Macaca mulatta: one gene and its partners. The protein of the gene in region 5 binds, or shares a complex with, the protein of the main gene of each other region. Links are inferred from orthologs where the notes say so. Each region holds a gene or a part of one and is shown on either strand. Other genes may lie near its edges.

Region 1 (3,980 bases), on a different chromosome or scaffold from region 5:
TCATTTTCAAAAACAGATCATTAAATGCCCTTCCTTGCCTTTTGATACCATCTCTTGCCGTTCAGATTTCCGCCCTCCCTATTCTCTCCCTCCTGCTGTATTACCTGAGGGGAGGCCAAGCCCTGAGCGTAAGGTGGCAGGCTGTTGTTCTGATCCATGATGTTCACTTTCTTCTTGGCAAACCAGAAACCCTTGGGCTGGAACTCGTCTCACCATTCAGTTTTTTCCTAGAGCATCTCAGGCACACTCTTCTCAGCAACTTCCTCAATTCCTTGGGTTATCTTCAGACACCAAGAAACAGTGATGCTGCTTTGGAAAAAAGTCTGAAGTTTAATTTAAGGATCCAGGTAACCTATACAGTCCTATAAGCCAGTTCCATGGCTATACAAAACACAAACATGAAAACCAATGAAGCTATTCTGGAGTACATTTGTTTTTACCTTATAATCCCAAAGTCTTATTCCTTCCAGGTTTCCGGTGATTGCATGTAAAATCGCCAACAAAACAAAAATCATTTTGTTACACGTTTAAATACTCAGATAATGCTCAAAATTAAGCTGTCATAACCAGCATTAAAAACTTTTGAGGAAAAACACCTACAGAAAACTAATTCCAAAAGAAACTGTAATATCAGAGTAGGATATTTATTAAGCACTGTATACACAGCACTGTTAGGCAAAGTTCAGATCTTTAAATATCCCAATTTTACATCCTCTACAATGTCTTGGGCAAAAAATTAAGTAACTATTAAATTCAATCCAATATACTTCAGAGTGATCATTTATCAAGCTCCTACTGTAATGAAACTATAAAAAAAAAGCTGCACAAAGATAAAGCTCTGAATTTTTATAAACGTAATAACCTTACCTCTTTAGAACACAATAGTGCAAACTGTGCGTTTTATCTGACTATTCTTAAATCGTCATCACTTTACTCACTATACATCTGAAATGAGTTTATAATAACATATTCTCACATGGAACTTAGAGGTCTCAAAGTTACAAATTATATGTCCAAAGACCCTTCAGGCATATGCACTTCAAGCATGTGCTGGTACAAAGTAGACACTCACATATTTGCTGAATATATGAAAGACTCTGACGATCACTTTGAAAGGGCAAAGGCCCCCAAAAACTATCTATGCTATATACTCATCACTGAAAAACAGACCAAAAAAGAAAGCAAGCTGTGCTTCTGGAAATAAATGTATCAAAGACATTTTTTAAATTATGCTTTTTTTTTTTTTTTGACAGTTATCCTATAATAACAAAAGTGCTGCAGATGAGGATATAAAGATAGGAAGATGTAGTCCCTGGCATCAAAGTGTTCAATATGAAGGGTATGCAAATAATTACTGTAAAACATAGTATTATAGTAGCAGGTATGGCCTAAGCTAAGTCTTGAAAGTCTACATGTCTTTGTGATCTCTGCATCTAGCACTATGCCTGGAATGCAGTATGTGATCATGAATGAGCCCATATACACCCCTGGAAGAGAAGACAATAAAGACTAACAGCCAATTACTATGAAGAGAGGGCAGTGTTTTCACAAAGCAGGGACCATCTAACTTGGGTCTCACAAGGTGAGTAGGAATTTACAAAACAGGGCTTCAGACAAAAGAGAAATCAAGCAGAAAGAGATAACAGATTGAAAAAAGATGCAGAATGCAGGCGACAAGCTTAGTATGACTGTATAGAAGGTCACTGCAGATGAAATAGCACATATTGGTGGGCTCATACTATCAGGAGTTTTAAATGTTACTGCATAGGCAATAATAACAGTTATGGAATTTTGGAAGTGCAGTATGAATAGATCTAATTTGGCAAGACTAGACGAATTTGAGAGGAGTAAAACTAGAGGCTGGAAGTTCCGCTTCAGGGATCTAAGGGTGAGGCAAGAGATAATGACGGCAGGATTTAAACCCATTGTAAGTAGGACTAGAGATTTATTTATCCAGGACCTGCGGTGGCTTCAGGCCACTTTTTGCAAGTAAGTCTACAGAAGAAACCGTACGGTGATTACTGCACTAATTTATCTCAGAAAAGAGTTGTTTGCTGGGTATCTTCAGCTCTTGGAAATTGAAACATCAAATCCGGTATTTTTTGGAGGCAATCAAATTAATTCTGCATAGCCTTCTAGTGTCTGTATAACTAAATGAAGCACAGTCTTTTCACAGAAAAGCCTACCTAGAGATTTGGAAAACCATGATGGCCTGACCGAGAGATGGGAGGCCCCGTAAATAAATGGTGTGTATTATATCTTAAGCGCTACCGTGCCCGCTGTCTCAGGATTCTGACAAAATACTTAAGTCTCAATGTTGGTAGCAAAACAGGCGGGCACAGACCAGGGTGAATCTGCCTTCTAACATGGAGAAGAAGCGGTGGCAGGACAGGGCAGGGTAAACTTCAGGTCTTCGATGCAAGGGACTGTCCTGTCCCGCCCGCCGCCGCCCCGTCAGTAGTACCCTGCGCCCCACAATCGTACGATGGGAAGCCGCTGGCGACACACAGCAGAGTAGGGCACCAGGCGGGAGCGGCGGCCGAGCGGCCGTTACAGGCCGGAACGGCGGCAGCACGAGAGGGAGGAACGTCCCCCGCGGGGCCTGCACGCGCGCCAATTCCTCTTCTCTTCCCCACCATTGTCCCCAGGCCTCAATGCAGTGGTCGCCTCCGCCCGAACCCTCAGAAAAGAGTACAAGCTGTTACCTGGGTCACTGCAAAGATGACCATGGGCCAGAGGAAACGAAGTTTCACAGCCGGCGGCCCAGGCGCCCGCCACAGCGAACCTGCCTGACCTCACTGAACTCCTGGCGCGCGTTGATAATGTCACTTCCGCCAGCTCTGCCCTCGGCTTCAGCGAGTTGCTCCCACTAGGGCCGAGGCCCTGGGAAGTGTGGGCATAGGTCACTTCCTGTGTTTCCATAGGCGCGGAGCTTAAGGTAAGGAGGGGCGAAGCTCTTGAGGAGTTCCGGGGCGGGGCCGCCGTGCCACAGCCGTCTCTAATTGGCCCTTGCTGGACATAGGACAGATCGATTTTTAAATGGTTATATGTGTGTGTGTTTTGTTGTTGTGGTGGTGGTTTAAAGCAACTAGCGGTGTTACCTTTGGCAAGTTACCTGACCTCTCCCCCGCAGTTTCTTCTGTAAAATTGAATAGTGATAATAGTGCTTACCGTTGGGCTGTCGGGAGATTGACAGAGACTGACAGTACTTGGCACTCAGTAAGCGCGTGCTCCTTACCTGTGCAAGAACGCTAGCTGATCTTCAAGGGTGTAGAATGACAAGGAACACTAAGCAAAACAAACGGCTTGTGTTTACACACGCATTTATATTCAGTTCTGCCACTCCCGTTTCATGCACTGTGGTCACAAGGCTCTATCCGCAGTTGTTTCTTAGTGGGACTAGAACTTAGTGGGAACTGATTTTCCCTTCTGTAGTTCATTGTGGCGTAGTCACATGTTATACTGCTCGTTTTCTTTGTACTCTTTATTATCAGTGAGGTTGTGAGCTCTTTAAGGATAGGAAATGTTATATACATTTTTTATTAGCCAGGACAATTAACGCGCTCACCGTTATTCGAGTTGGCGTTGCGCCATAGTTCTGCCAATGTTTTTGTATGGTCAGACTTAAATTTTCGTCCATTGGGGTGAATTCCAATGTTTTCTTCGACGGGGGGCGGGAAACCTTTACTTTTCTGTCAGCTTTTTTGGAATGGGCGGGACCCAACTACCAAAGGGACAGGCCGCCCTGCAGCCCTCCAGGAGCAACGACTAGCGCAAGATAGAGAGGCCGGGAGCGAACTTCAGGAGAAGCCGGAAGTGGCGTAACGTCCGGTCAAGGCAGCCATCTCGCCGTGAGACAGCAGGTGTCGGAGCTGGAGCTGCAGGCGCAGCCGTGCGATGTTGTCCTCCGTAGCCATGTATTCGGCTCCTGGCAGAGACTTGGGGATGGAGCCGCACGGAGCCGCGGGCCCTTTGCAGCT
Region 2 (6,270 bases), on a different chromosome or scaffold from region 5:
TTTTGACAATAAAAGTGAGCATTTTATTGAAAACATGTTGAGTCCAGACTTCAGACTTGGTGTATTATAGTGGACTTGGGGTGGCTGTTATTCTCCTAGATAAGGGAACTGGATTATCCCTGTTATCTTTATGCTCAAGTTTAATTTCAGGGATGTTAAACCTGAATAGCTGAAAATGATGAATTTGATGATCTTGAAATGTAATTATAATAGGTATCATAAGAGGAAGGCAAAGAACAATGTATATAGTATTGTCATTTATGTACAAGGGAATATATATTGTATTACAAAGAGTATGTACATACATACATGTACATTTATATGCAAACATAAATAGGGTTTTTTGGGGAATATATACCTGTATAGGAAACTGGTTTACAGTGGTTATCTCTAGGGAAGGGTGCAAGGGGTCAGTAGAGGTAATACGGTGTCTTTCAGACTGCTTAAATTTTAACATGAACAGTTTTTGTTTTTGTTTTTGTTTGAGACAGTCTTATGTTGGCCAGGCTGGTGTCGAACTCCTGAGCTTAAGTGATCCTCCCACTTTGTCCTCCCAAATTGTTGGGATTACACGCGTGAGCCACCACACCTGGCCATGAACAGTTTTTAAATCTTTTTAAATTAAAGCAAATAGGCCAAGCAAACGAGCCTGTAAATTAAAGCTCATGCCCGTAAATCCCAGCACTTTGGGAAGTGGAGGTGGGGGGATGGCTTGAACTCAGGGGTTTGAGCTTAGCTTAGGCAATATAGCCAAATCCCGTCTCTACAAAAATTAACCAGGGCATGTTGGTGCATACCTGTGGTCCTAGCTACTGGACAGGCTGAGATAGGATTTGAGCCCAGGAGGTGGAGGCTCCAGTGAGCCAAGTTCCACTGCACTCCGGCCTGGGTAACAAAGAGATATCTTGACTTTAAAAGAAGAAAAAGGTTGCCGGGCGGTGGCTCAAGCCTGTAATCCCAGCACTTTGGGAGGCCAAGGCGGGCGGATCACGAGGTCAGGAGATCGAGGCCATCCTGGCTAACACGGTGAAACCCCGTCTCTACTAAAAAATACAAAAAACTAGCCGGGCGAGGTGGCGGCGCCTGTAGTCCCAGCTACTCGGGAGGCTGAGGCAGGAGAATGGCGTAAACCCGGGAGGCGGAGCTTGCAGTGAGCTGAGATCCGGCCACCGCACTCCAGCCTGGGCGACAGAGCCAGACTCCGTCTCAAAAAAAAAATAAAAAATAAATAAAAAGAAGAAAAAGGTAAATAAATTATTGTAATTGATTCGAGGTGGCTAATTTTTTTTTTTTTTTTTTGGAGACGGAGTCTCTGTCACCACGCTGGAGTGCTGTGGCGCGTCCTTGGCTCACTGCATCCTCCAACCACCCGGTTCAAGGGATTCTTCTGCCTCAGCCTCCTGAGTAGCCGGGATTACTGGCATGTGCCACCACGCCTGGCTAATTTTTGTATTTTCATAGAGATGGAGTTTCACTATGTCGGCCAGGATGGTCTCGATCTCCTGACCTCATGATCTTCCCGCCTCGGCCTCCCAAAGTGCAGTGATTACAGGCATGAGCCACTGCGCCCAGCACGAGGTGGCTAATTTTATTCTGAGTAGTTCCATGGTAGCAGCAGGCAGTTTGAATTGGCGTCAGAATTTGCTGAGCCCCACCCCTGGAGAATCAATACACTGAGTAATATTCTGACATTCAATTAGCTTTGGAAAATTTTTATTAGATCGTAGTACATGCTGATTTACATATGGCCAGGCATGGTGGCTCACGCCTGTAATCCCAGCACTTTAGGAGGCCTAGGCGGGCAGATGACATGAGATTAGGAGTTTGAGACCAGCCTGGCCAATATGGTGAAACCCTGTCTCTACTAAAAATACAAAAATTAGCTGGGCATGGTGGTAGGCACCTGTAATTCCAGCTACTCAGGAGACTGAGGCAGGAGACTCGCTTGATCCTGGGAGGTGGAGATTGCAGTGAGCCAAGATCGCGCCACTGCACTCCAGCCTGGGTGACAAGAGCGAAATTCCGTCTCAAAAAAAAAATTTTTTTTACATGTTATTGCTAATTAGAAATTTTTCATTTCAGTCGTCAAGATCTTTAAGGGCAGAGGCCAGGTGAGACTCTGCCTCAGAAATAAAAAAAGGAAGGGCACAAGGTGGGCTGCAGTGTGATAAGTAGTATTTCACAAACAGTATTTTTCTGTGGCTTGTCTTACAGGTACACCAGGGGTTGGAAAAACTACACTAGGCAAAGAACTTGCGTCAAAATCGGGACTGAAATACATTAATGTTGGTGATTTAGCTCGAGAAGGTAAGGGACACTTTGGTGTTAGATTTGTTTTGTTTTGTTTTGTTTTAAGTCTGATAGTGGAGTGTTAGTGCTGGGTATTGTCAGAAGGTACAAAAAACAGATTGCCATTAAAGAATATATACTCTTGCCTGTAATCCCAGCACTTTGGGAGGCTGAGACGGGCGGATCACGAGGTCAGGAGATCGAGACCATCCTGGCTAACACAATGAAACCCCGTCTCTACTAAAAATACAAAAAAATTAGCCGGGCGAGGTGGCGGGCGCCTGTAGTCCCAGCTACTCGGGAGGCTGAGGCAGGAGAATGGCGTAAACCCGGGAGGCGGAGCTTGCAGTGAGCCGAGATGGCGCCACTGCACTCCAGCCTGGGTGACAGAGCGAGACTCCGTCTCAAAAAAAAAAAAAAAAAAATATATATATATATATATAGTCTTTTAGGGAATCCACAGAAATATTAAGTGTCTAATGCTATGTCCTGGTTATTTTGAGCATTTTCCCTTCCTCCTTGAAAATGGCTAGCAATTCTTGTGAATAGTTGGGAAGGCTCCTATGAAGAGACTGGATTTCGGAGAGGTAGAATGTGAATAAGGAGAGTGTTTTCAAGTTGAGCAAACAAAGGTTTGGTACTGCTGAACATATATATGAGCACAGTGAGTGTATTGGTCTCACTGGAAAGAGATTGTTTTGAGCTCAGGTGTAGGACATGACTATGCTATGGTATCTTAGTGTGAGGTTTGCATGCAACTGCATATATTCTAAGATGATAGATGTTTTTATTTATTTTACCCTGTTTTCCCCTAATCTTTTATCACTCCCTTATTTGTGTCTTCATCTTTTTATAGTTGACAATGATTTGTACATGGTAGGAACTCAATAAATTAAAGGGATTTTAAGTATGCCTCATTAAAATTAAGAAAACATATGGTTTAAATTTAAAAAATTTTTTTACAGTTTAACATAGATTAAAAAATTTTTTAAGTTCCTGACAGTTGCTACTAAAGTAACTATTTCAGATTGATCTAATGTACATATTTTTTTCAAATGATCTAAAGTCTGATCATCGGATATCATGGAGTCTGGCAAGATGGCTTCTCCCAAGAGCATGCCGAAAGATGCACAGATGATGGCACAAATCCTGAAGGATATGGGGATTACAGAATATGAGCCAAGAGTTATAAATCAGATGTTGGAGTTTGCCTTCCGATATGTGACCACAATTCTAGATGATGCAAAAATTTATTCAAGCCATGCTAAGAAAGCTACCGTTGATGCAGATGATGTGCGATTGGCAATCCAGTGCCGCGCTGACCAGTCTTTTACCTCTCCTCCCCCAAGAGATTTTTTATTAGATATCGCAAGGCAAAGAAATCAAACCCCTTTGCCACTGATCAAGCCATATTCAGGTCCTAGGTTGCCACCTGATAGATACTGCTTAACAGCTCCAAACTATAGGCTGAAATCTTTACAGAAAAAGGCATCAACTTCTGCGGGAAGAATAACAGTCCCGCGGTTAAGTGTTGGTTCAGTTACTAGCAGACCAAGTACTCCCACACTAGGCACACCAACCCCACAGACCATGTCTGTTTCAACTAAAGTAGGGACTCCCATGTCCCTCACAGGTCAAAGGTTTACAGTACAGATGCCTACTTCGCAGTCTCCAGCTGTAAAAGCTTCAATTCCTGCAACCTCAGCAGTTCAGAATGTTCTGATTAATCCATCATTAATTGGGTCCAAAAACATTCTTATTACCACTAATATGGTGTCATCACAAAATGCTGCCAATGAATCATCAAATGCATTGAAAAGAAAACGTGAAGATGATGATGATGACGATGATGATGATGATGACTATGATAATTTGTAATCTAGCTTTGCTGCATGTAACATGTATACTTGGTCTTGAATTCATTGTACTGATATTAAACATGCATGCTGGATGTTTTCAAGTTGTGTTTTAGAAAACTTTAATAATAATTAATGAGTAAATACAGTTACCATACTTTTCAATTGAAATGAAGGTTTTTCATCAGCCTTAAAAGTGTAAGAAAAATAAAGTTGTCATTCATTACTTTGATTGTTGGTGCTTTGGCAGTTATGTTTTTAAAAGCAATTTTCTCCCTGTTGTCACCAAGGGGAGTAACAGTTGACAGTTGCAGCAACTTGCAGTACTGTAGTCTATTGTTGACCACTAGAATGTCACCTCAAGTGTCTTCAGATATATAGATCACAGTATGATCTCTGGTGTATGTCACTCTTGTGATCTGTTCTCTCAGTTGCTGAAGTATAACCATGACTCCTCTTTGGAGAGACTAGTTGGTCAGGATTTTTATTCATAGTGAATTCTTAACCTGCTTTGATTATCTTCCTCAATTGTCCAACTTCCTAGGTCCCATTTTTCTGTCCCTTTGGTTATATTAAGGACCCTTAGTGTCTCCCAGTATGTCTCCACTTTTTTAAAAAAAATTTATCAGTGTCTCTTTTTGCAGGTTAATTTTGAGCATCTTTGTTTTTCATATTCCTGATACTATAAGCCAGTATCATGTTCATTTTTGATCCAGGGCTGATGATTAGGTTATAGTTTATATTTTTTTAATTTTTAAAATTTTTTTGTCCAAAAGAACATCAATTTATCAAGGTTATAGTTTCTGAAACCTAGATCTTTATTTGCTATCATACAAATACTCATTTTCCATTTCATTTTATTTCCTGAAACAGAATCTCATTCTGTTGCCCAGGCTGGAGTGCAGTGGCACAATCTCAGCTCACTGCAACCTCCGTGTCCCAGGTTCCAGCGATCTTCACACCTCAGCTTCCCAGTAATTCCAGTAGCTGGAATTACAGGTTTGCACCACCACACCTGGCTCATTTTTATATTTTTAGTAGAGATGGGCGTTTGCCATGTTGTCCAGGCTGGTCTTGAACTCCAGGCCTCAAGTGATCTGCCCACCTCGGCCTCCCAAAGTACTAGGATTACAGGTGTGAGCTACCGCACCTGGCCTTCCTTTCTTTCTTTTTTTTGAGACAGAGTCTCACTCTGTTGCCCAGGCTGGAGTGCAGTGGTGCAATCTCAGCTCACTGCAAGCTCCACCTCCTGGGTTCATGCCATTCTCCCGCCTCAGCCTCCCTAGTAGCTGGGACTACAGGTGCCTACTACCACGCCCAGCTAAGTTGTATTTTTAGTAGAGATGGGATTTCACTGCGTTAGTCAGGATGGTCTCAATCTCCTGACCTCGTGATCCACCCGCCTTGGCCTCCCAAAGTGCTGGGATTACAGGTATGAGCCACTGTGCCCAGCCCAGCCTTTACGTTTTATATCTATGAAATCTGGTTTTGTTCCTCATTGTTGAACACCACCATTTTGACAAGTGATTTCTGAGTCACATAATAGTCAATTTCATTCATGCATTCTAATGTTACTTTCACTTAATTTAACACTTCTAAGCTAATTAGAGCATTAATAGCATTGAGAGCAATGGTTACACTAGACCAAGGAAAATCCAGTATAAGGCACTTGTCTTCCTCTTCTTTAGGTCCTCTCCTACCAGTACTCACACCATTTCATTTGGTTAAGACAGAGTCTTGCTCTGTTGCCCAGGCTGGAGTGTGGTGGCCTGATCGTAGCTCATTGCATCCTTGAACTCCTGGGCTCAAGTGATCATCCTGCCTCAGCCTCCCTTGTAGCTGGGACTACAGGCACACACCATCTTTCCTGGCTAATTTAAAATTTTATTTGCAGAGGGCCGGGCGCGGTGGCTCACGCCTGTAATCCCAGCACTTTGGGAGGCCGAGACGGGCAGATCACAAGGTCAGGAGATCGAGACCATCCTGGCGAACCCGGTGAAACCCCGTCTCTACTAAAAAATACAAAAAACTAGCCGGGTGAGGTGGCAGGCGCCTGTAGTCCCAGCTACTCGGGAGGCTGAGGCAGGAGAATGGTGTGAACCCGGGAGGTGGAGCTTGCAGTGAG
Region 3 (6,554 bases), on a different chromosome or scaffold from region 5:
AGCTCGACACCAGCCTGGCCAACATGGTGAAACCCCGTCTCTACTAAAACACAAAAACTAGCCGGGTGTCGTGGCGGGCGCCTGTAATCCCAGCTACTCGAGAGGCAGCCGCAGGAGAATCGCTTGAACCCGGGAGGTGGAGGTTGCAGTGAGCCGAGATCGCGCCACTGCACTCCAGCCTGGGTGATAGAACAAGTCTCCGTCTCGGGCGGGGCGGGGGGGGGGGCGGGAAAAGCGAGGTCCTGCGTAGCCTGGTGGAAGGTTCCAAGTTCCTAAGAGAAAAAAATCAATAGAATTTCCTCCAGAGGAGCCTCGAGATTCTACAAGGCGTGGGAGTTTCTGCAGGAGGTGAGGGAGAGCATATGTATATATATGATATACATATTTGCTCCAAATTGGCTTTTGTGGGCTACGACAGCTGGCACCCTGTAGCGAGCGAGGGTGAAGCCCGGCTGTGCCATGCGGCGGAGGCTGCCACCTGGGCACTCCCACCATTCTTCGCAGCCGGCTCAGAACGGGAGACCAGGCGAGCCCGGAGCAGCGTGGACTCGGACCCGCGCGCCCTCCGGTATCCTGGCCCGTGCGCCGCCTGCCTCGCCCCGGGCACGCCACAAGCCCACCCCGCCCGAGTCTCAGGACCCCCGATCTCTCTGGAGACCCAAGAGACGGGTGGGGGAGAAGGGGTCTGCAGGCAGCGGCCCGGCCCCGGCGCGTACCCACCTGAGCAGACTGGAGAGGGGGTGGCTGGAAGAGCCGAGGCCGCCGCCGCCGCCGCCCCCAGAGCCGCCGCCGCCGCCGCCGCCGCCGCCCCCAAAGCCAGAGGAGAGCCGCTTCCCGGACAGCAGCTTCTCCACCGCCGGGAGGTGCCCGGTGCGGGCCGCCTCCAGCAGCTCCTGCTCCTTCCCCATCCCCAGGGCCGCCACCCGCTGGACCCCCCTCCCCGGGGCTGCAGCCGAGCCTGCTCGGGCTCCCAAACTTTCCGTCTCCGGGCAACGCACCCCCCAAACCGGCTGGGGACACCACCCCCCCTCCCTGCCTTTTCTCCACAAGCGCGTCACTTCCGGGATCCGGCGTCACGCGTCACCGCGCCCCCGCGCCCCGCCCCCTAGCTCACCTAGCTGGGCGGGGCTCCGCGGACCAGCGCAGGTGGATTTTGCTGTGCCGAGACAGGCCTCACGGGTTATGGGGACAGCGCCTTGTGGGTCCCCATTATATAGGTGGAAAGGGACAAACAGGCCCACCTGTACGCGCCTCCCGAAGTGCGCTCCTTCCCTAAACGTTTTGGGAGCTCCTGGGACAGGAAATACGGCAATTCGTCCAGGCAGCGCAGAAACAAAGAGATAAATATGGTAACGCGCACCTACATTTCCAAGGACATTCTTTAAGCACGCATAAATTAAATATGTAATAGGTGCTGGGACCTAGTCATACCCAGGTGAATAAAACGCCCTCCCCCTCGTATCTCTATGAGGGAAGAGAAGAAAATTTTAAAATAGAAATATCCTCACCACTTCATCCTCCCAGTACATGAACTAGTTCGTTAAAGTGAAACGTTCGAAGGAGACACCTTCCTCTCTTTAGGCTTTCCTCTTAGTTTTGGTAAGATTAACCAAAATGATAGAAAAGTGTCAGACTTGTAGAAACAAACCTCAATCTTGAATACTTGCGAACTGAAAAAAAATCATTTAATTGGATAGAAACTATGTGTGTTTTGTTCCCTGGTACTAGCACTGTTTCTAAATCGAAGTACGCAGTCAATAGTTGTGGATGAATAAATGAATTGGATAAATTCTGCTCAAGCTAGATGACTTTTTGTTGTTAAGGTGCTTGCTGAATGGAGCGGAAATGCTAGCAATTCCACGTACACACAGACCCGCGGTTTCGGGCCAGTTGAAATACACAAGGTTGAGTCTTGCCTGAAAGTTTACCAATCCCGGGTAGCCTCATTCCACGACACCGCCATACAACGGAACTGAGTTTTCTCCCGATCCCCCAACTTTACTCTGAGGGGTTAACGAAGGGATTAACTGGTATTGAATTTTTAGACAGGCGAAAAGGAAAAAGTTATTTAGTAAACAAAACTGCGCTCCTTCACAAGTGCTGGTTTCCTAGCTAGGAGGATCCATAGTCTGAGCTCTTTACGTCCAATTTTCCCGCTTCCCACTGTCGCCAAACCAAAGTTAAAATGAGTCCTCTAGTCCTCTACGCGCGCCTCAAAATGACCCCTCAGGAGAGCGGTAGGGGTGATGTCATCGCTGCGCGACGACAGGAAGTAAGATACTGTCCTGTGCAGCTCGGGGTTCCGAGCTTCTGCCTCAGACATCGCCGCGATCTCCTCTCCCCTCCAATCCTATCCGTGATGGACGATGCCCGCGAGTCGCCCTCCGACAAAGGTGGAGAGACAGGGGAGTCGGATGAGACGGCCGCTGCGTCCGGGGACCCGGGGGCTACCGACACGGATGGAATCCCAGAGGAAACTGACGGAGACGCAGATGCGGACTTGAAAGAAGCTGCAGCGGAGGAAGGCGAGGTAGGAAGAGATGTATCGATGAGGCTGAAGGAATACCCAGAGATCGTGTTACTGGGTGCTTGCCGGGCTTCTGGTTAGTCCCTCCCAAGTTACGAGAACTCGAACTCACCAGAACTCCCTCCAGATCGTTAATCTTGAGGGGGAAGAGAGCGGACGACCAAACAGAACTCCAGTGCTGGTTCCGTTCCAGAGGCTCAAGCACTGCGTTAATATTTTTAGTCTTGTCAAGGGATTAAAGCTACTTCTAAGGGAGTTTTAATAGCCTATTGGCTTTAGTGGTGAGGAAACTGGGATCCAGTGTCACACTGAGACGCAGTGCAAGAGCTAAAACCCAGGATTCGTAGCACCCCTTTCACCGCAATATGGTTCGTCTTAGATGTTAAGACAACTTTGTTTCTTTATAGGAAGGAGGGTCGATCAAACCTGTCAAAGGGAGATAGACTTTTATAAAAGTGTCGCCCGGGCTGTAGTACAATGGCGCGATCTCTGGCTCACTGCAACCTCCGCCTCCCGGGTTCACGCGATTCTCTTGCTTCAGCCTCCCAAGTAGCTGGGATTACAGGCTCACACCACCATGCCCGGCTATTTTTTGTATTTTTATTAGAGACGGGGTTTTACCATGTTGGCCAGGCTGGTCTCGAACCCCTGACCTCGTGATCCGTCCGCCTCGGCCTCCCAAAGTGCTGGGATTACAGGCGTGAGCCACAGCACCCGGTGATCAGGGACCCATCAGTTGGGTCTGGTGTTTTTATGCTACAGAGAGTTCAGCAGTGTTGCCTAGCTGAACATTGGTCAGGACCAGAAACTCATCGTTCTCTGGATTACATTTCTGGAAGTAGAATCTTGGGGTCTTAGAGCTAGAAGGGATTTAAGAGATCGTGGGGTGAACAGTAGATTAGATGGAAATAGCCTTTCAGTGTATAAAGTTGCATAAAAATGTATAAAGTAAGAACTTTTAGAAAAAGAGAAAATTTGGCCGGGTGCAGTGGCTCACGCCTGTAATCTTTGGGAGGCGGAGGTGGGTGGATCGCCTGAGGTCAGGAGATCCCCAATATGGGGAAACCCTGTCTCTACTAAAAATACAAAAATTAGCTGGGCATGGTGGCAGGCGCCTGTAATCCCGGCTACTTAGGAGGCTGAGGCACAAGAATCGCTTGAACCTGGGAGGCAGAGGTTGCAGTGAGCCGAGATCGCACCACTGCACACCAGCTTGGGTGCCAGAGTGAAACTCCGTCTCGAAAAAAAGAAAAAGAGAACATTTGACAAAAGTATTTTAAGGCAGGTTTCTTTTTTTGTTTTTGTTTTTGTTTTTGAGACTGAGTACTCGCTCTGTCACCCAGGCTGGAATGTGCAGTGGCGCGATCTCGGCTCACTGCAAGCTCCTTTAAGGCAGTTTTTGTTGGTTTGTTGAGACAAGGTCTCACTCTGTCACCCAGCCTGGAGTGCAGTGGCACAGTCTCTGCCTCCTGGGCTCAAGCAACCCTCTTATCTCAGCGTCCGCAGTAACTGGGATTGCAAGCATACTGCACCACGCTCAGCTGAAGTTTTTGTATTGTTTTGTTTTGTTTTGTTTCGTTTTTGAGACGGAGTCTCGTTCTGTTGCCCAGGCTGGAGTGCAATGGCGCAATCTCGGCCTACTGCAACCTCCGCCTCCCAGGCTCAAGTGATTCTCCTGCCTCAGCCTCCCCAGTAACTGGGATTACAGGCACGTGCCACTGTGCCCAGCTAATTTTTGTATTTTTAGTAGAGCCAAGGTTTCACCAAGTTGCCCAGGCTGGTCTTGAACTCCTGACCTCATGATCCATCTGCCTCAGCCTCCCAAAGTTCTGGGATTATAGGCATGAGCCACCGCACCTGGCCAGCTAAAGGTTTTTTAAATATTGTTTTGGTAGAGACAAGGTCTCATTATATTGCCCAGTCTGGTCTCCAACTCACTGGGCTGAAGTAATCCTTCCGCCTCAGCCTCCCAAAGTGCTAAGATTACAGGTGGGAGCCACCATGCCTGGCCAAGAAGGAAACTTTAAAACAGGTGTCAAGGACAGCAAGGATTTGAATAATTAGCTTGGTACACTAGAGAGCTCACTACATATATAAATTTGCACCGAACAGAGGATAAAATTATGTTGTTTCTGAAACACTTTTAAAAATCAATCATGTACTAGACCATGAAGAAAAATATGAATTCTTAAAAGATATCATAACAGGCCACATCTTGTTAATGCAATGCATTAAACTTGAAATTAACTACAAAAAGCTTCTCCCCCACCAAAAAAGAACCCCCTGGAAATTTTAAACTACTTTTTAAATAGCCTTTAGACTAAAGAAATTAACAGAACACTTTATCAAATGATATGGGATTTGGCCAAAGCTTTATTTAAAGAAAAATGTATAGCCTTACATATTTTTATTAACAACCAGAAGATACTGCAAATAAGCACCTGACTCAAGAGACCAGATAAAGGGCCTAGTGGAGTGGGTCACACCTACAGACCTAGCTACCTGGCAGGCTGACACAGGAGGATCGCTTGAGGCTGCAGTGAGCTATGATCCAGCCTGGGCAACAGAGTGAGTCTGGGGAAAAAACAAACAAACAAACAAACAACAGATAAAGAACAAAATAAATCAGAAGAGTGTAGGAACAAGGAGTTAATAAGGATACAAGTAGACACTAATGAATTAGCACATTAAAAAACATAAATGATAAAATTAAAACCTGATTACTTAAAATGTAAATGTACATTACAAAATATGAAAGGCTATAGGCACTAATATGGAGATCTTTAAAGCTATAAAAACATTTAATGTTCAAGTTTAGGCCAAATAAATGGGAAAATCTGAGAAAAACAGGTGAATTTTTAAAGAAAATACAAACCACCAAACTTGAAGCGCAAAGAAGTTAGAAAACTTGTATAAATCGGTAAGTAAAAAGAAATTGAAAGGATTGTCAAAGATAGACTACCTTAATCCCATCTATTCCCATATTCCTGTATGAGTTTAAATTTGAATTCCTCTTTAGGAACAAGTTAAATCTCAATGAGTTTTGTAGTATACTTACGATTCTACATTAAGTCAGAGGGGGTGAAGTTTGGATTTGATTTTTATTGTTATAAACAGGCAGTTTTTTAAGTTTGGGGGTGCATGTGCAGGATGTGCAGGTTTTGTTACATAAGTAAATGTATGTCATAGGGGTTTGTTGTATAGATTATTTCATCTCCCAGGTATTAAGCCTAGTACCCATTAGTTATTTTTCATGATCCTTTCCCTCCTGCCACCCTTTACCCTCCCATAGACCCCAATGTGTGTTCCCCTGTATGTGTCCATGTGTTCTCATCATTTAGTTCCCACTTATTAGTGAGAACATGCAGTATTTGGTTTTCTGTTCCCGCATTAGTTTGCTAAAGATAATGGCCTCCACCTCCATCCATGTCCCTGCAAAGGACATGATCTCCTTTTTTATGGCTGTGTAGTATTTCATGGTGTATACTGGAAAATACATTTTCATTATCCAGTCTATCATTGATGGGCATTTAGGTTGATTCCATGTCTTTGCTATTGTCAATAGCACTGCAATGAACATACGTGTGGATGTGTCTTTATAATAGAACAATTTATATTCCTGTGGGTGTATACCCAGTAATGGGACTGCTGGGTCAAATGGTAATTCTGTCTTTAGGTCTTTGAGGAATTGTCACACTGCCTTCCTCAATGGTGAACTGATTTATACTCCAACCAAGAGTTTAAAAGCTTTCCTTTGCCTCCACAACCTTGCCAGTATCTGTTATTTTTTGATTTTTGAATAATAGCCATTCTGACAGATATGAGATGGTATCTCATTATGGTTTTGATTTGCATTTCTCTAATCAGAGATGCTGAGCTTTTTTTCATATGATTTTTGACCACAGGTATGTCTTCTTTTGAGAAGTGTCTTTGCCTACCTTTTAATGGGGTTTAAACAGGCATTTATTAAACATCCAGCATAAGTAAAATTGTGTTAAATGCTGATGGGGGAGAGATATAAATAATA
Region 4 (6,720 bases), about 110 Mb from region 5:
TAACCAGCATTTCAAAACAGAAAACATAACTATTTATTTGTAACACAGCACCACCTAACAATACATCTGTCAATTAAATCAGAATTTGGTTGTTGGAAATATTTGTAAGTTGCCATTATAGTACACTTCGCTCTTTACTGCACAAATGTGATAATTTCTTCGGTTACTCTGATGGCCTCTTTTCCTCCTTACTGATTTCTCAGTTATGATCTATAATTAGGTCAAGTTTCTGAAGAGATAAGAGATTACAGCAAAATAACCAACAATATAATTCATCTTATAGTTCATTCACAAAATTCAACATTAAAAAAAGATTCCTCTCAAACACTTTTTTTTTTTTTTTTTTGTAAAGACGGAATTTTGCTCTGTTGCCCAGGCCGGAGCGCAATGGCGCTATCTTGGCTCACTGCAACTTCTGCCTCCTGGGTTAAAGTGGTTCGCCTGCCTCAGCCTCCCGAGCAGCTGGGACAACGGCACATGCCACCACGCCCAGCTAATTTTTTTGTATTTTTAGTAGAGACGGGGTTTCACCATGTTGGCCAGGCTGGTCTTGAACTCCTGACCTCAAGTGATCCACCTGCCTTGGCCTCCCAAAGTGCTGGGACTACAGGCGTGAGCCACCGTGCCCGGCCTTCAATCCACATCTGCACACATTTCTATTTATGGATTAAAATGAGATATGAATACAATGCTATGTATTCATACTTCATTTCTGGCAATGCTGCAAAGATTAGGCCTCATACAGATTAATTTGGCTAAAAGCTCTGCACTGGATAATTCAATAAACATTTATTGTCAGCTCAGGATCACCTCTGAGACCTTATATTGTATATGAGTTTTACTGCATGGATTTGTGGCAACAGTTGCTGTGAGAAAGCAGTGGCTCAGGTGTCAGGAACACATACAGAGGCATAAACTTATCCATACCAAACATTTTACATATACATATTACAAGTGCCTCACGTGGCCGGGCGCGCTGGCTCACGCCTGTAATCCCAACACTTTGGGAGGCCAAGGCAGGTGGATCACGAGGTCAGGAGATCAAGACCATCCAGGCTAACATAGTGAAACCCCGTCTCTACCAAAAAGACAAAAAAAAAATAGCCAGGTGTGGTGACATGCGCCTGTGGTCCCAGCTACTTGGGAGGCTGAGGCAGGAGAATCGCTTGAACCTGGGAGGCAGAGGTTGCAGTGAGCCAAGATTGTGCCACTGCACTCCAGCCTGGCCGACAGAGCGAGACTCTGTCTAAAAAAAAAAAACCCTCGGCCGGGTGCGGTGGCTCAAGCCTGTAATCCCAGCACTTTGGGTGGCCGAGACGGGCGGATCACAAGGTCAGGAGATCGAGATCATCCTGGCTAACACGGTGAAACCCTGTCTCTACTAAAAAATAGAAAAAACTAGCCGGGCGAGGTGGCGGGCGCCTGTAGTGCCAGCTACTGGGGAGGCTGTGGCAGGAGAATGGCGTAGACCCGGGAGGCGGAGCTTGCAGTGAGCTGAGATCCGGCCACTGCACTCCAGCCTGGGCGACAGAGCGAGACTCCGTCTCAAAAAAAAAAAAAAAAAAAAAAAAAACCCTCATAACCACTCATGTAATAAAGGGAGAAAATTCAACATGAGAATGACTTGTCTCTTGACAATATTAATGTAAAAAAAAAATTTTTTTTTTTTTAAGACAGAGTCTTGCTCTATCACCCAGGCTGAAGTGCAGTGGCGCAATCTTGGCTCACTGCAACCTCGGCCTCCCGGGTTCAAGCAATTCTCCTGCCTCAGCCTCCCAAGTAGCTGGGATTACAGGCATGCGCCATCACATCTGGCTAATTTTTGTATTTTTAGTAGAAAGGGGGTTTCACCATGTTGGCCAGGCTGGTCTCAAACTCCTGACCTCAGGTGATCCACCCGCTTCATCCTCCCAAAGTGCTGAGATTACAGGCATGAGCCACCACGCCCGGCCAATAGGAAGGTAAAAAAAAATTAAAAGGTAAGAAAAGAATGACAATCAGCATCACACATGTAAATGCAGCAAAGACGAAAAGGTCTGTCCAATGCCCATGCCTAAACACATGGTTCTCAAGCTGCCCTATGTCAACACTCCTTAGAAGCTCTTATTCAAAAGTGAAGATTCCCAGATTCCACCTCTAGAGGATCTGATTCACTAAGTCTGAAGTGATGCCCAGGAACCTGCATCCTCCAAAGACTTAACACTGGTGGTACTCAGCCCATATATATCTTTAAAATTTCAGTCGGGTGCGGTGGCTCATGCCTGTAATCCCAGCACTTTGAGAGGCCGAGGCGGGTGGATCATGAGATCAGAAATTCAAGACCAGTCGGACCAATATGGCGAAACCCCGTCTCTACAAAAAATACTTTTTAAAAAATTAAGCGGGGCGTGGTGTCGTGCGCCAGTAGTCCCAGCTACTCGCGAGGCTGAGGCAGGAGAATCGCTTAAATCCAGGAGGCAGAGGTTGCAGTGAGCCGAGATTACACCACTGTAGTCCAGCCTGAGCGACAGAGCAAGACTCCGTCACAGAAAAAAAAAAAAAGAAAAGAAAAAAAAAAAACTTTTAGCTGAGATTCAGGGGGTACATGACGTGCAGGATTGTTACAAGGGTATATTGTATGGTGGCTGGGCACGGTGGCTCACGCCTGTAATCCCAGCACTTTGGGAGGCCGAGGCTGGTGGATCATATGAGGTCGGGAGTTCGAGACCAGCCAGACCAACATGGTGAAAGCCTGGCTGTACTAAAAATACAAAAATTAGCTGGCCGTGGTAGTAGAAGCCTGTAGTCCCAGCTACTTACGAGGCTGAGGCAGGAGAATCGCCTGAACCCAGGAGGCGGAGGTTGCAGTGAGCCGAGGTCGCACCACTGCACTCCAGCCTGGGCAACAGAGCAAGGCTCCGTCTCAAAAAAAAAAAAAAAAAAAAAAAAAAAAAAAAGTCCATAAAGTATTTATTAACACATCTTTTAAAAGGAAGTAAAGAAATAAAGAGAAAATAAAGTACTTATAAAACTTAAAGTACGCTAGTACGAAACTGTACAAACACTGTTAGTCTCAGGCGGACCTGCCCAAGGCTCAAAAGCCCAAATGAGAGGAAAGGGACCAAAAGCGTGAAGGTCCCCGCCTCTCCGCGCTCACCTTCCCATACATCCCTCTGCTCAACAGCTCTCCTCAGCCTCTCGCTGAAACTGACAGCTCGGAAGGGGGTTTGACTGCGCAGCCGGCGCACTAGAGAAAGGGGCGGGCATGTGGCCCTAGAGGCGGGCCCAGGAAATTCAAAACAAGCCCGCAGAGGTGCAGGCCTGCCAGCCCCTGCCTTACCGGCTTGCTCCCCTTCGCGGCGGCCGTGCCTCCCCGGAACCCCACGGCTTACCTTTACCCGGAGCCGCAGGACCTGAGGCTGAACCTGAGACGGCCGTGACCCCCGAAGCGCCAGTGCCCGGAGGGTCGGGGGCCGCAGGGCCAGGGGCCGAGGCGGTCACCCGGCTGAGAAGCGCGCTGGCCACCTCAGCGCCGACGCTGTCCACCTCTCCCGGGGCTCCGGAGCCCGCCACTGCCTCCTCCAGCAGCCGGGCCTCACGGCGCAGCGCCTCTTCGGCCTCGCGGAGGTTGCTCTGCCGTAGGAACTGCAGCACGGCCAGTAGAGTCTGTCGGTCGTGCGGAGCGCCGGCCTCCGGAGCAGCCGCAGGCACCGGGGCCGCCCCCGCCGGGGCAGCGGTGGAGACAGCCACCGTGAGCTTGGGGGTCCCGCCATCCCCGCCAGTGGACGACGATGCCGCAACGTTCCCGCCGCCGCCGTTAGGGCCGTTGTTGGTAGTGCCGCCGCTACCCTCGCCTGCGCCGTCCCCCGCCTGCGGAGGTAGCAGCGTTGGCGGTCCCTCAGGCTCTAGCTTGACCGCCACCTCCGTCTGCTCCTCCGCCAGCGCCGCCATCTTGCGGCTGAGCCACCTTGCGCCGTCAAGCGTGATTGCATTTTCGCCACATGGAGGGCGGGGAGGAGCATTTCACGACAACTCTAGTAGGCCATTTACGGCAGTAGGAGGGGCGAAAAGGAAGGAGAAACGGAATAGGAAAGAGAGCAACTTTCAAAAACGGGCGAAAGAAAGGCAGGAAGTGGGCATAGGGAACACCTATTACATTTCTCTGATAATAATTGCCATTTATTGCAGAGCAGCTATATTTAGGCATTATGATAGACGTTTTACATTATGTGATCTCCTTCAATTCAATAATCTTTTTCTCTTTTTTTTTGAGACGGAATTTCATTCTTGTCGCCCAGGCTGTTCAAGCGATTCTCCTGCCTCAGCCTCCCCAGTAGCTAGGATTACAGGCATGCGCCACCACGCCCGGCTACAATTAAATAGTCTTATGAGGTAATATTATCCCCACCCCACAGATGGCTCTGCCGAAACCAAGAAAGGTTAAATAACTTACCAGAGTCACGCAAGAAGAAAGTCCAAATGTCAACATTCGAATCCACGTATTTAACTCAAAAGTATATACCATTTGCCAGAGGAAGGCTTCCAAGATACTGGTAATGTTTTACGTTTTGACCCGGATAGTGCTTTTTTTTTTTTTTTTTTTTTTTTTGCAATTTTTACTTTTGTAAAAGTTAATCAAGGTGCATGCTTTATGAACTTTTAACCATATACATTACATTACATTACATTTTTTTATTTACTTATTTATTTTTTGAGACGGAGTCTCGCTCTGTCGCCCAGGCTGGAGTACAGTGGCCCGATCTCAGCTCACTGCAACCTCCGCCTCCCGGGTTCAAGCGATTCTCCTACCTGAGCCTCCCGAGTAGCTGGGATTACAAGCATGTGCCACCACGCCCGGCTAATTGTTGTATTTTCAGTAGAGACGGGGTTTCGTCATGTTGGCCAGGCTGGTCTCAAACTCCTAATCTCAGGTGATCCGCCCCTCGGCGTCCCAGAGTGCTGGGATTACAGGCGTGAGCCACTGCACCTGGCCCATACACATTACATTGCAATAAAAAGTTTTTAAATGCAATAAAAAGTTTTACAGGCGCGGTGGCTCCCACCTGTAACCCCAGCACTTTGGGAGGCCGAGGAGGGCGGATCACGAGGTCAAGAATTAGAGACCAGCCTCACCAACCAACATGGCGAAACCCCGCCTCTACTAAAAATACAAAAAATTAGCTGGGCGTGGTGGTGCGCCCCTGTAATCCCAGGTACTCCAGAGGCTGAGGCAGAAGAATCGCCTGAACCCCGGAGATGGAGGTTGCAGTGAGCCGAGATCTAGCCACTGCGCTCCAGCCTGGGCGACAGAAGGAGACTCCATCTCAAAAAAAAAAAAAAATCACAGAATTTTGTGGTTGTGAAATATGTACGTTATGTATTCATGCTATTATCCGTTATTACAAATAAACCATTTTAATTGTATATTTAAAACTCGGCCGGGCGCGGTGGCTCAAGCCTGTAATCCCAGTACTTTGGGAGGCCGAGGCGGGTGGATCACGAAGTCAGGAGATCGAGACCATCCTGGCTAACATGGTGAAACCCCGTCTCTACTAAAAATACAAAAAACTAGCCGGGCGTGGTGGCGGGCGCCTGTAGTCCCAGCTACTCGGAGGCTGAGGCAGGAGAATGGCGTAAACCCGGGAGGCGGAGCTTGCAGTGAGCCGAGATCGCGCCACTGCACTCCAGCCTGGGTGACACAGCAAGACTCCGTCTCAAAAAAAAAAAAAAAAAAAAAAAAAAAAACTCATGGCCGGACGCAGTGGCACATACCTGTAGTCCCAGCACTTTGGGAGGCCGAGGTGGGTGGATCACCCGAGGTCAGGAGTTCCAGACCAGCCTAGCTAACATGATGAAACGCCGTCTCTACTAAAAATATAAAAACTTAGCCAGGTGTGGTGGCGCGCGCATGTAATCCCAGCTATTCGGGAGGCTGAAGTAGAAGAATCACCTGAACCCAGGAGGTGGAGGTTGCAGTGAGCCGAGATCGCACCATTGCACTTCAGCCTGGACAAGAAGAACAAAACTCCATCTCAGGAATAAAAAAACAAAATCATATATGCCATTTTGCAATGTGCTTCATAGGTTATAAAACCCTCCTGCATATTTTATCTCATTGGAACCTTGTAACTCTGTGAAATAGGTACAGATGAGAAAAGTGAGCCTGAGGCATTGGGAAAATCTAGCACAGCCGTTCAAGTTATTGGTTTTGAGGTCTTACCAGTGTCCTTTGACCCTGCTTACTTTTTAAAAATATTGTATTTTATTTATTAGAGATCTGGAGCCTTATTATATTGCCTAGGCTGGCCTTGAACTCCTGGACTCAAGCAGTCTCCCACCTCAGCCTCCCAAGTAGCTGAGACTACAGGCACAGACCACCTGGCTTGACCTTGCTTACTGGCTGAATAACCTGGAGCAAGTTGCTTAATTTACTATGCCCCAGTTGCCCAATTTCTGTTTTTTTTTTTAATTTTTTATTTTTTGAAACGGAGTTTCACTCTTGTTGCCCAGGCTGGAGTGCAATGGCGTGATCTCGGCTCACTGCAACCTCCGCCTCCCAGATTCTAGCGATTATCCTGCCTCAGCCTCCCGAGTAGCTGGGATTACTCCCATGTGCCACATCAGGCCCAGCTAATTTTGTATTTTTAGTAGAGACAGGGTTTCTCCATGTTGGTCAAGCTGGTCTCCAACTCCCGACTTCAGGTGATCTGCCTGCCTCAGCCTCCCAAAGTGCTGGGATTA
Region 5 (5,941 bases):
AAGCTATTAAAGTAGAACCGATTATAAGAAATGAATTGCAAGAAACTGGAACCCTTGAGCACCACTGATAGGAAGGTGAGGATGGTGCAGCCACTGTGGAAAACAGTGTGGTGCTTCCTCAAAAATTAAGTAGACAATTACTATATGATCCAGCAATTCTACTTCGGGGTACAGACCCCCAAAAAACTTGAAAGCAAGAACTGGAACAGATATTTGCACACCAATGTTCACAGCAGCATTAATCACTAGAGCCAAAAGGTTGAAACAACCCAAATGTCCATCAGTGAGTGAATGGATAAACAAATGTGGAACGTATATATAATGTATTATTCTGCCTTAAAAACACACACACACAACGAAATCCTGACACAGGCTACAACATGAATGAACCCTGAAGACATCATACTAAGTGAAATAAGACAGCCATAAAAAGACAAATACTGTACAATTCCACTTATAAAAGGTACCTAGAATAGACAAACTCATAGAGACAAAAAAAAAAAAAGGAATGGTTGGCAGGGGCTGGAAGTGGTGGAGAATGGGGAGATACCTTTAATGGGAACAGTGTTTCAATTTGGGAGGGTAAAAAATTCTGGAGAAGGAGGGGGATGATGGTTGAATAACAATGTATACTTAATGCCACAGAACTGTACACCTACAAATGGTGACAACGGTCCATTTATGTGATGTATATTTTACAATAGAAAATCGTAAGTAAAAGTAATTGCTGGCATCATTTGCATTGTCCTGAAGTATACAGGTTTTAGAATTTGTTACAAAATGAAAGAACTTAATTGCAACTTTTCCAAGTCTTTTAAGAAAAAATACTGCGCAGTTGTATTAGAGACCACAAATTACTTAAATCTCTTTTCAGAATCTTAGTGAACTTAGTGATCAACATCTAAAATTATACAGGAAAAAAGGGAACTCTGCAATGGGACTGACCACTGTATCTGATTAGCTATCATTTTATAATCAAAAGTTCTATTATGATCAAACAATAAACATTTCTACTCATCATAAAAAACAGAAGTAAGTCTATACAATATCAGTGAATACTCACGATTCACTCACTGTTTCCAGTATAAAGCTATGGCATTCAACTCATGGCCTGAATAGTAAGCGAGGAGGAAAGAGCTACCCCAATTTTTCTTTTTGTTTTAAAGGTTTTCTAGTTTACTTAATACCCCATTCTCATATAATAGGGCTGTTGAAAGGCTTCTCTTTGGCTTCACCGTTTTCCTCTACTCAAACTTTACAAAGGAGATAAATGCTTCAGACATAACCTTGATTACACCATGGCTTGGCCTGGTAATGTCAGTTGCAAGTTTGTTGGTTTAAGGGTTCGAATAATTTGTAAATAACAGTACATGTTTCTATTGTGTTTCCAGAATGTATAAAGTTGGCATAGCATGGAAAGCTAAGAGGATCAAAAATCCATTAAAATAGTCCCTAACAAATGAAGAAGAAACACTCACAAACCTTCTTGAGAAGACACAATGGGTGGCAGGTAATCAGGAATGTATTCTTTTCTTTCCTCTGCATCTTTACTTCCAGGTTGAGGAAACTGAAGTACATTGTTCTTGCTAACGGGAAATGACGGAATTTGGTGTGGGAAGGTGACAGGTTCAATGTTGTGAATATAGTCTTCTAGTTCATGTAGACTAACCCCCATCAGCTGGAAAGCTTCACCAACATCATCCAAAACTGGGTCTGTTCGGCCATCTGAAACAAAGCCAAAAGCAAATCAAATTATTTGAAGAAATCCCGTGAATATATTTTTAAATATTAAAAAAGGTAGTAAGTAAATATGCAGCTCAGAATCAAACATTTTAACCTAGTTATTGGAAAGAATTTAATATTTTAAATAGAACATCACAGAATCATGTTTAAGCTGATTATTAAGGTCAAGCTTAAATATGATCAGACAACTAGCCAGAACACCACAGAAAAATCACACTCATGATCAGCTTATATATTATAGAACAAATTTCAAAGTAGTTTACAGATGATCAAAAGCATCTGCAACAGTGCCTGACACACAGAAAATGCCCCAGAAATAATAATAATAGTGTTTTGTCTTTTTTTTTTTAGATGGCATCTTGGCTGGGCGCGGTGGCTCACACCTGTAATCCCAGCACTGAGAGGCTGAGGCGGGCAGATCACAAGGTCAGGAGTTCGAGACCAGCCTGGCCAACATGGTGAAACTGTCTCTACTAAAAATAAAAAAATTAGCCGGGCATGGTGGCGCACGCCTGTAATCCCAGCTACTCAGGGGGCTGAGGCAGGAGAACTGCTCGAACCTGGTAGGCGGAGGTTGCAGTGAGCCGAGATCACGCCACTACACTCTAGCCTGGGCAACAGAGCAAGATTCCGTTTCAGGGGGGGAAAAAAAAAAAAGGAGATGGCATCTTGCTTGTTGCCCAGGCTGGAGTGCCGTAGTATGATCACAGCTCCTTGCTGCCTCAAACTCCTAGGCTCAAGCAATCTTCCCCTCTCAGTCTCCCGAGTAGCTGGGACTATAAGCACATGCCACCATGCCTTGCTAGTTATTATTATTATTATTTATTTTTTTTTTTTGTAGAGATGAGTTCTTGCTATGTTGCTCAGGCTGGTTTTGAACTCCTGGCCTCAAGCAATCCTCCTGCTTCTGCCTCGCAAAGTGGTGGGATAACAGGAATGAGCCAATGTGCCTGGCCTTTTTTTTTTAAATCATCAAATAAGTAGTGTGCTGTGCTGACAAAATCAATGTTTGTTACATTTCCTCTGTTGTTCCCTGATGCATCTGCGGAATTTTAAACAGTGGCTGGAACTCAATAACAATAGCTGGCACTCAATAAATACCTACTGAATGAATTATACCATTAAATGAATTTTTAAAATCTAAGAATATTTACAAAGAAGGCTCAGATCATAAAAGTTTGGTTTTTGTTTGTTTTTTGAGACAGGGTCTCACTCTGCTGCCCAGGCTGGAGTGCAGTAGGGCAATCATGGCTCACTACAACCTTAACTTCCCAGGCTCAAGCCGTCCTCCCACCTTAGCCTTCCGAGTAGCTGGGACTACCAGTGCACCACCACCATGCCCAGTCATAAAGGTAATTTACCTATAAAATTTCAAATGTAATTAGAAAACACAACATAAAACAGAGATAAAAAGATAAAAAGTTAGATATAGTGAGTTTTTTTCTTTACAAAAGCAAGTTTTTCTTATGCCTATCCTTAGCAGAGCTTAAGGTCTCTACATCTTTAAAAATGTCTATGAAAATTCCAGTTTCCGATTTTCAATAGCCTAAAGGATTTAACTGAAATCCTGACTTTTTAACTGAAATCTTGAAATTTGATCACTTCAAACTCAGTATGTCTGAAATTAAATCACCCTGTAAAATGAACAAGAATCCAAATCTTGCTAGAATTGGACGCATGTGTGGTAATGCATACAGAAACGTCTAGAAGGATATTCAGCCAATGGTTAACAGTTGAAGGGGATGGAAGCTGCAGTAGAGGGGAGGGCTGTGGTGGAAGCAGGAGACTGACTTTTAACTCTACATACTTCTGCAGTCTTTGATTTTTTTTTTTCTATAAGCATGGGTTACTTCTAATGTATACTTCTAATGATGTATAAAAAAGAGAAAACAAATAAAACGAATACTCTTCTTACTGAACGTAAACAGGCATTTCAACTCTTCTATTCCTATTAAAGCTATTATTACTCTCTCAGTCTAAAAAATATAATCATCTTAAATTCCTCCATATGCTTTGCAGCCTCAAACCAAAACCTGGAACTGTTTCTAACCCTGTCCCCCTCCCCATCCCCGGGCACCTTTTTTTTTTTTTTTTTAAACCATGATTTCAGATTTTTTTCCTTTCTCTCTATTCTTACTCTCTATTCTTCCTATTCTCTCTATTCTCTCTATTCTTCCCTGTCTCAGTATAGTCTCAAGTTCTGCCCACTTCAATGTCTTGTGCACATCACTGTCAGTACAATTTTCTTAAAATACCACTTTAATCATATTGTCCCCCTACTTAGAAGTATGCAATGTTTTCTACTACATGTTTTAATTCTTTTGTCTAGCTTTTAAGTCCCTCCATAACCTGATTTCACTGTGTTGAACATTTTCCTCAGACACCCTTGGAATGAACTAGCTGCATAGGGAGCTGAACACCTTACTGGTACTTTTATTATGCTTAATCTCACCTGGACAGCTTAGTTTATGTGATTCTCTAACCCGGAATACTCTATACCTTTATACAACCATACTTCATAGCTCAACTCAAATCTTATCTTTTCTGTGAAGTTATCCTACCCCAGAATCCATAGCCTACAACCATCTCTCCTCTTACTCCTTTTACATTTACTCCCTGTACCATACAAAAAATATTACAGTACTAGTGTTGAAGAGTCAGTCTGAAAGATTTAGCACCTGCTTTCAGCGCATGCCAACACATTTAATATATAATGTGACACAGACAGAGACATCTGCCCTTGAATGCTTGGAGAAATTGTCAGCCTAAGGCAATTCTGAAGTTCATTATTTGTTCATTATTTGAATTAATGGTAACTTCTAATACTTGCTTTAACTTGAGAACATTTATTTTAGAAGAAACAAACACCATCAGTTTGTTTTTGCTGACATTCTGGCACTCTTGAACACACCTTATGGGCAGGGATTGTATCTTAGTAATTTTATGTCTCCAATGTCTAGTACAGGGATTGGTTCATAAGTGGTGCTCAATAAGTGTTTGTTAAAACAACAGAAAGGATTTAAAGGAGTGGAATACAAGATTCTGTAGTGGTAACTTGGAGTTACAGAATTCGATTTTAGAATAAGACTGGTATAGAAAAAAGAATCTAAAAATATCTAATAAGTATACCAAAATTAGTGTTAAAAAAAAAGTCATCAAATCACAATGGGACATAATGAACCTGACAATCTCATTCTCACTGAAACCAAGAAACTGGCTATGGAAATTAGGTAATTAGGAAGAAGGTTTACACTGAAGAGCTGCAATGACCCCTGGGTGACTTTGGAATACCTAGTCACATGGAGTGCCAGCTCCCTTCTGTTTTGTATAAAAGGCAGGAAAGGTAACTAGTATTCAGGAGACATTTTGAATAGCTAAAGATACATGGTAGCAAACATAATCTGGACTATGCCTAGCCTAGCCTAGCCTATCCTATCAGTAACAGTATACTCAAGAACCACTGCAGAGCAAGCCAGAGGAAAAAGAAACAAAAGCCAGAAGAGTAGTCAACTGGTGATGCACTTTCAAGATAAAAACACATGCATATTACTTTGTGGTTCCACATCCAGATGTATCAGTGAGCTGGGCATGGTGGCTCATGCCTGTAATCCCAGCACTTTGAAACACTGAGGCAGGAGGATCACCTGAGCCCAGGAGTTTGACAGCAGCCTGAGCAATATAACCAGACCACATCTCTACAAAAAAATAAAAAAATTAGCTAGGCATGGTGGCGTATCCCTGTAGTCCCAGCTACTTGGAAGGCTGAGGCAGGAGGATCACTTGAGCCCTTAAGTTCGAGGCTATAGAGAGCTAAGATCGCACCACTGCACTCCACACTGGGCAACAGAGTGAGACCCTGTCTCAAAAGAAGAAGAAGAATAGAAGCATCAGTGAAATCAAGCATTCAAAACATACACATTTTTGGAACTCAATATGTAAAGTCAATAAGTGGCTTTTAGGGTAGTGGTTTATCAGTTCATTCATTTATTCAACAAATATTTCTCAGGTGCCTATTACATAATGGCCCTATAGGTTACAGAATACAAATATAATCAATTTTTTCTCCTGGAGAGGGGAAAGAGACATACACAGGTGATTACAAAACAAGATGACAAATAATATAAAAGAAATATGCACAGAATTATGAAAGCAGATAACATGAGTTCCCTAGAGCAAGTGATAAGTGCATCTCAAAATA

Evidence for each region.
Region 1: TAF3 (region 5) and TBP share a complex: the UniProt entries of both Homo sapiens proteins name them as parts of the TFIID basal transcription factor complex. The link is inferred for Macaca mulatta from reciprocal best matches to the Homo sapiens genes TAF3 and TBP.
Region 2: TAF3 (region 5) and TAF9 share a complex: the UniProt entries of both Homo sapiens proteins name them as parts of the TFIID basal transcription factor complex. The link is inferred for Macaca mulatta from reciprocal best matches to the Homo sapiens genes TAF3 and TAF9.
Region 3: TAF3 (region 5) and TAF11 share a complex: the UniProt entries of both Homo sapiens proteins name them as parts of the TFIID basal transcription factor complex. The link is inferred for Macaca mulatta from reciprocal best matches to the Homo sapiens genes TAF3 and TAF11.
Region 4: TAF3 (region 5) and TAF5 share a complex: the UniProt entries of both Homo sapiens proteins name them as parts of the TFIID basal transcription factor complex. The link is inferred for Macaca mulatta from reciprocal best matches to the Homo sapiens genes TAF3 and TAF5.

What each region holds. Positions count from the first base shown.
Region 1 is NC_133409.1:1,494,713-1,498,692, forward strand, and holds the start of TBP (TATA-box-binding protein), read right to left. Parts: upstream 2,801-3,980; 5' UTR 2,706-2,800; intron 464-2,705; 5' UTR 441-463; intron 310-440; exon of another isoform or gene 307-309; 5' UTR 159-306; coding exon 105-158; intron 1-104. Other genes in the region: PSMB1 (proteasome subunit beta type-1), read left to right, coding at 3,898-3,980. UniProt on the Homo sapiens protein: The TFIID basal transcription factor complex plays a major role in the initiation of RNA polymerase II (Pol II)-dependent transcription.
Region 2 is NC_133411.1:77,438,258-77,444,527, reverse strand, and holds TAF9 (transcription initiation factor TFIID subunit 9), read left to right. Parts: upstream 1-2,213; 5' UTR 2,214-2,214; coding exon of another isoform or gene 2,215-2,307; intron 2,308-3,355; 5' UTR 3,356-3,372; coding exon 3,373-4,167; 3' UTR 4,168-4,326; downstream 4,327-6,270. Other genes in the region: AK6 (adenylate kinase isoenzyme 6), read left to right, coding at 2,215-2,307. UniProt on the Homo sapiens protein: The TFIID basal transcription factor complex plays a major role in the initiation of RNA polymerase II (Pol II)-dependent transcription.
Region 3 is NC_133409.1:147,387,122-147,393,675, forward strand, and holds the start of TAF11 (transcription initiation factor TFIID subunit 11), read left to right. Parts: upstream 1-2,325; 5' UTR 2,326-2,359; coding exon 2,360-2,530; intron 2,531-6,554. Other genes in the region: ANKS1A (ankyrin repeat and SAM domain-containing protein 1A), read right to left, coding at 721-908. UniProt on the Homo sapiens protein: The TFIID basal transcription factor complex plays a major role in the initiation of RNA polymerase II (Pol II)-dependent transcription.
Region 4 is NC_133414.1:115,513,035-115,519,754, reverse strand, and holds the start of TAF5 (transcription initiation factor TFIID subunit 5), read right to left. Parts: upstream 3,967-6,720; 5' UTR 3,931-3,966; coding exon 3,372-3,930; intron 1-3,371. UniProt on the Homo sapiens protein: The TFIID basal transcription factor complex plays a major role in the initiation of RNA polymerase II (Pol II)-dependent transcription.
Region 5 is NC_133414.1:9,320,521-9,326,461, reverse strand, and holds part of TAF3 (transcription initiation factor TFIID subunit 3), read right to left. Parts: intron 1,726-5,941; coding exon 1,483-1,725; intron 1-1,482. UniProt on the Homo sapiens protein: The TFIID basal transcription factor complex plays a major role in the initiation of RNA polymerase II (Pol II)-dependent transcription.